Ovis aries: one gene and its partner. The protein of the gene in region 1 purifies or fractionates together with the protein of each later gene. This does not show direct contact. Links are inferred from orthologs where the notes say so. Each region holds a gene or a part of one and is shown on either strand. Other genes may lie near its edges. The genes, in order: MAP4K1 and NUDC.

The links.
Region 2: the proteins of MAP4K1 (region 1) and NUDC purify together in Homo sapiens (affinity purification with mass spectrometry; 3 studies listed by BioGRID and IntAct, with this or other methods). This does not show direct contact. The link is inferred for Ovis aries from reciprocal best matches to the Homo sapiens genes MAP4K1 and NUDC.

What each region holds. Positions count from the first base shown.
Region 1 is NC_056067.1:47,739,169-47,742,988, forward strand, and holds the end of MAP4K1 (mitogen-activated protein kinase kinase kinase kinase 1), read right to left. Parts: coding exon 3,816-3,820; intron 3,161-3,815; coding exon 3,105-3,160; intron 806-3,104; coding exon 736-805; 3' UTR 631-735; downstream 1-630. Other genes in the region: RYR1 (ryanodine receptor 1), read left to right, coding at 90-141, 289-384. UniProt on the Homo sapiens protein: Serine/threonine-protein kinase, which plays a role in the response to environmental stress. Appears to act upstream of the JUN N-terminal pathway.
Region 2 is NC_056055.1:240,000,828-240,003,347, reverse strand, and holds the end of NUDC (nuclear migration protein nudC), read left to right. Parts: intron 1-890; coding exon 891-974; intron 975-1,067; coding exon 1,068-1,186; intron 1,187-1,612; coding exon 1,613-1,664; 3' UTR 1,665-1,889; downstream 1,890-2,520. UniProt on the Homo sapiens protein: Plays a role in neurogenesis and neuronal migration. Necessary for correct formation of mitotic spindles and chromosome separation during mitosis. Necessary for cytokinesis and cell proliferation.

The DNA of each region.
Region 1 (3,820 bases):
GCGGTGTCCATGTGGGTGGATTCCCAGCCAGCTAATCAGGAGGAAGTAAGGGAAATCGTGACCTGTCTACTGCTGCCTCCCATCCCCAGGTTTTTCCTGATGTATCTGATAAACAAGGACGAGACAGAACACACGGGCCAGGTAAGCGTGTGTTATTGGAAGGACAATGGGCAGAGACATGGTGAATTTTAATATAAGGTCAGTCAGCAGGTGGCAGTGAAAAGCTCATGTCAATATGAAGCATTTGAAGATGTGACCAACTAACTCTTCCCCATCTCCCACCCCTAGGAGTCTTACGTCTGGAAGATGTACCAAGAGAGATGCTGGGATTTCTTCCCGGCTGGCGATTGTTTCCGCAAGCAGTATGAGGACCAGCTTAGCTGAGACACCCCTAGCTGGCCCTTCACCCCCCACCTCAAGTGCCTTATTCTCACAGCAAACCCCACAGCCCTCAAACCCCTCCCCCCAAGGCAGCTGGGGGAGGGGTGACCATGTACTGACGAATAAAGTCTGTGCTATACCCCTGACATCATTGTGTTGGATTGTTGATTTTTGGGGGGCGGGGGGGGGGCATCCAGGAATTCCGCTCTCCTCTCCTTCCCCCGACCCCAAAATCAAAATGAAAGCAGAGACTGAAGTCATGTTTATTGGGAGACAGGGGCATGCCAGGATCAGGAGTGTGTGTCCACTGGGGAGGGAGATGTAGAGACTGGTTCCTAACACCCCCTCAGGGACTCATTCCTGGATGTAGAGGTTGCTGGGGGCAGTGGGATCATCTGCTGGGCGCGTCTCCACCACCACAGGCCTGGGGAAGGAAAAGAGAAGTCAGTTCATTCACTCATTTACAGAGATGTCGATAGAGTTTGTGCCAGCATAGTGCTGGGCTAGAGCAGTGGATGAGCAGACACGGCCCTCGCCCTCAGGAGACCAACATGAATCAGTGAATTAGATGAGTACAAAGAAGCATGAGGCACATAGCAGGGAAACCCAGCTCAAGGGGTCAGCCAAGGTGTCACTAAAGAATGGATGGTAGAGCCTGAAAGAAGTTCAGGAGGGAACTTGATGAAAGGGCAGGAAAGAGCGTTCTGGGCAGAGAGAACAGCCTGGGCAAAGGACTTACATGGGAGAGGGCTTGACTGCACAAGTCATGGTTTGTAGGCTGTGACCAGGATTGGGTATTTATCTTGAGGCCACAGGAAGCTTTTAACCAGGTGGAGAGTGACACAATCAGATCTAGATTTTAAAGGACACCTCTGACATATTGAAAGGTCAGAGAGATCCTTGAAGAAGCTCTCACTGGCTAAATCTGTGAGTATTTGTGCCTCAGAACAGATAATGATAGTAACAGATTATAACCCATAGAATAAAATGAAAATCAGCTTCCCTGGTGGTCCAGCAGTTAACAATCTGCTTTGCAATACAAGAGACACCAGTTTGATCCCTGGCCCAGGAAAATCCCACTTCCCACAGAGCAGCTAAGCCCATGAGCCACAGCTACTGAGCCTGTGTGCCTAGAGCCTGTGGTCCACAACAAGAGAAGCCACGACAAGACAAGCCTACACACTGCAATGAAGAGCGGCCTCTCGGCAACTAGAGAAAAGTCTGTGTGTAACAACGAAGATCCACCACAGCCAAAAATAAACAAGTAAGTAAATCTTTAAAAAAATATATAAAGTGGAGGATCATCTTTTTAAAAAAGAATAAACAAAAAATCCTTGAGACTATGCTAAGATACACACAAACACACAGTCATATATACACACATACATACAAATATACATACACGGTGGAGAAGGGACAGCTCTTTCCTACAGTAGAATGCCGACTTAGAAGAAATGATAGAAATAGGAAACTCACCATTTAATAGACTCAGGCAAAAATCATCAAGTCATGGTAAAATTAGGTGAAACAATAATTTTACATTGTCTCAAGAAATTACCCCCAAAGAATACTTATTTATACAGAGAAAAGAAGAGTAGCATTATAGTCAAGAAAGCTGGCTCATTCCATTTTAACCAAGTGACCGACCAAAGATAACCTCACCAGTAGTGGGACAAACTGACACACACTTCCTGATCCAATGTAGTGAGAAGGATACCCCATCACTTCTGTGGTATTCCTGCCCCAAACGTGTAACCTGGAAACCTCAAACCCAACTAAGGGACATTCTGAAAAACAAATTTCCTGTACTCTTCAAAAGTGTCAAGGTCATGAAAAGCACAGGAAGTCTGAAGAACGTTCCAGGCACAAGACTAAAGAAACATGACCCCAAAATGCAGCCTGTAATCCTGGATGATATCATGGACCAAAAAAAAAAAGTATTATTTTTTGGTTACAAAGAGCATCATTGGAACAACTTGGTGAGACTTGAGTGGGTGTGTGAAATTAGAAGATAGCGCTATCTCGGTGCTCTTTTCTTGATTTTGACAGCTGTATTGTGGTTTGTAAGAGTATGTCCTTGCCTTGATTTAGGAAACATACACTGAAGTATTTTGGGGTAAACTGGCATCATGCTTGCAATTCATGTGCCAACAGAAAAAAATTACACATATATGCGAGGCAAGAATAAACCAAATGTGGTTAAAAATAATATACAGGGAATCTGGGTGAAGGGGATACAGAATTCTTAAATTTATTTTTGCAACTTCTCTGAATCTAAATTTATATCAACATATCACTAAAAAGTTTAAAAAGAATGAAAATTCCACCTTCAGGCTTCCCTGGTGGCTGGGTGGTGAAGAATCTGCCTGCCAATGCAGGAGACACGGATCCAATCCCTGATCTAGGAAGATCCCATGTGCCATGAGGCAACTAAGCCCGCGCACCACAACTACTGAGCCTGTGCCCTAGAGCCCGGGAGCCGCAACACAGCCAAAGCACAGCCCCAAATAAACTAATTAATTAAAATTTTTTTAACAAAAGAAAATTCCACCTTGGCTGCTCTATGGGGAATAGACTATAGGGGACAGAGATAGAAGCAGGGAGACCAAGTGAGAGGATGTCCAGGCCAAAGATTCAGACGGCTGGGGACACCTCAAGATACCCTCTTTACATCCAAAGCACCCCCCCTCCCTGGTCCTCTGTCCTCTGCTCGAAGTTCATACCTGGGGGAGCCAAGCAGACGGAAGGTGAGGGTGGGATCTCTGAGCTCCTGCAGCAGCTGGGGAAAAAGGTGCTGTATCAGTGTCTAGAAGACTCCTCCCCTCTCCCTTAAAGAGAGTAAGGGGCAAGGTCTCTGAACTCCTCAGGTCCAGAAATAATCATTGCTGCTAACACCACTCATCAACTGTGTGACCTCAGGCAAGTTACTTAACCTCTCTGCACCTCAGAGCACTAACCTTTGAAATCATAATACCTACCTGACAGGTGATCCCGAAGATTAAGGAGAATACAAAAGTGTAAGGGCAGAGCCTGACACATGGTGTTCTGTGGATTAAGCATCATTTTCACTCCATTTTCCGGATGAGAAAAGTGAGGCACAGAAAGATTAAGCTATTTGACTAAAATCATTCAGCTGGATTCCAACCCAGGTAGTCTGGTCCATGCTCTTAACCCACTTGTCTCTATTTGTGACCCCATTTTACAGTTAGGAGTCTGAGGGAGGCTCAGAAAGAAGCGAAGTCACACAGTGACCCTGGTTGAGCTCTGGTCCCAAGAGACACTGGAGCAGAGACGGGGACCTGTCTGAACTGAGCCTAGAGAAGTGTCACCTCCAGGGACTTTACACCCTGAGTGAGTCTGTTCTCCCAATGGATCTGATGAGTGAGATGATTGACGTGGGAGGGGCTTGCGGGTGCTAGGAGGAAGGAGCTTACCTGAT
Region 2 (2,520 bases), on another chromosome or scaffold:
AGGCAAGAATACGGGGGTGGGTTGCCATTTCCTTCTCCAGGTCCATTAGGTTTTTTTCTGGTTTTTATTTTGGGTCTGAATTTTTATTATGGGTCTTAGTTGCCATGTGCGGGATCTTCCTTGTGGCATGTGGGATCTTTAGTTGCAGCACATTGGACCTAGTTCCCTGACTAGGGATCGAACCTGGGCCCCCTGCCTTGGGAGTTCAGAGTCTTAACCACTGGACCCACCAGGGAAGTCCCTCCATTAGGTTTGTATCAATACAAGCATTCAGTTCAGCAAATACTTGAACACCTACTCATGCCAGAGACTGTTCTAAGTGCTGGAGGGAAAACAGTGAACCAGACGTAGAAAGCTATGCCCCTCTGGAAGCCCGCGTTCTCCCCTCTCAGAGAACTGGGATGCAGACCCCAGTAAGTGAACATGGGCTCTGTGAAGCGCCAGGGTCCAAGGAAAGAGTCCCATGGCATGTACTGCCTGGCCCAGCCTACCTGACCCCCTTGGCTGCCTCTCACTCACCCCTCTGTGCCCTTGCCCTTGCATTTCCTCCCACCTGGAATGTCCTTCCCTGCTTTTTAACGTGGTTCACGCGTGTCGTTTAAGGCCCAGCCCTGTGTGTCATCCGAACCTCTCCCTCCACCTGATGAGTATCTCCCTCTGTACTTTATTCTTTCCGTTATCATGCTGACTGTCTCCGTGTCTGTCTCCCCCAGCCACCGGGGAGGGCAGAGGTCTTGCCTCTCTGCCCCTAGGTCCCAGTTCAGGCCTTGTAAGTCCCTGATGCAGGATGTGGCTGGGAGAGAGTTTGGTTCTGGAAGAGCTGGGGGGTGGTCACCAGGGTCCAGAGTGAGCCACCACCCGTCCCCGGGTGGCCCTCCTCTTCCTCTCAGATTAACAAGATGGAGTGGTGGAGCCGCTTGGTATCCAGTGACCCCGAGATCAATACTAAGAAGATAAACCCCGAGAACTCCAAGGTGAGCCCAGGCTGCTTGGAGGAGCTGCGGTCGGGAGGTTTGGGGCCTGGGTGGCCCCAGGCCTTCACCCACCCTGTCACTGTCTGCCCCCAGCTGTCAGACCTGGACAGTGAGACCCGTAGCATGGTGGAGAAGATGATGTACGACCAGAGACAGAAGTCTATGGGGCTGCCTACCTCCGATGAGCAGAAGAAACAGGAGATTCTGAAGAAGTGAGCGATGCAGAGATGGGGGTTTGGGGGAGGTGTCTACGGCTGGGACCTGGGTGACAGTGGCAAGTGTTTACTGAGCAGAACACAGGAGCTGCCCCGCCCCTTCCAGGATGAGCCAGCCAAGTTTATGGCTTTATAGCCTTGGCTTGCCTCCCCTAATCACTTACTGAGGTCATCTTGAGGGCAAGGCCACCACAGGATAGGAAAGGGTAACAGGCGGTCACAGTTTCCAACAGAAAAAGCAGTGCCGGTGTTGGCACCTCAGCATCCAGCCTTGGGGAGACCTTGGGGGCCCCACTCCTGTCTGGCATGGCTCCGGGTTGCTGAGAGCTGTAAACAGATGAGACCTCATGTTGGAGGCTGAGAGAAAGGGACAAATTTAGGGAGACGGATGGCCTGTCTCACCTTCCTGCTTTGTCTCTGCAGGTTCATGGATCAGCATCCAGAGATGGACTTTTCCAAGGCCAGATTCAACTAGCCCCTGTGTTTGCTCCCCTGAACTCTCTAGGCTGAGCTCCCGGCTCCCCACTTTCCTCTCCCACCCTCCCTGGGACTGGTGGGCCACAGGGCCAGGGCAGGCACGGGGCTGGCTGGCACACACAGGTCCCAGGCCATCATGGGAGAAGGGCTGGGGCCTTGGGGGGGGGTCTTGTCCTCCTCAGCTGGCCTGCTGTTACACATTAAAACCATTTACCCAATTCCACTCACGTCTTCTCTTCCCTCTGGCCTTTCTCTGGGGTTCAGGCCTCTTAGGACTGCTGCTGTGACCTGGGGGCTTGACTGCTCACCCAGGCTCTGCTGTGTGATCTAGGGCAAGTCTTTGCCTCTCCCTGGGCTCAGTTTCTCATTACTTAAATAGAGGATCCCGACAAGGCTTTTAGTCTGTGTATGATTTTGAACAAAAGGGGTTGGTTATAGGCACCAAACAATGTCAGATTCTCCAAGGGGCCCATGACTCAGCAGCACTTAAGACCAGCCTGACTTGATTTCCATTTTCATCTCTGAGACAATTTCCCACTGCACTGGGTCTGTCCTTTAGTCCTGGAGCAAGTGTTTCTAAAACTATACACTACTTCCCAGAGGCAGAGAGCAAGCAGCAAAGCCTAGGGGCACCGCCTAGGCCTCAGATGGGCTTTGTGTGTGGTGGGGATCTGGCTGGGAAGGCAGGGGGAAGCCCAAAGGAGCCTGTTGTGTGTCTTTGACCTGGACCCTTGCAGATTTTAGGGCTTCTCAGGAGTGAGCCACTGAGGCTGGAGAGGTGTTCTCTTTTGCCCCAGTCCAGCCACCAGAGCTGACCCTTGCCCCGCTTTGGCAGGAAGTACAGGTCACAGTGC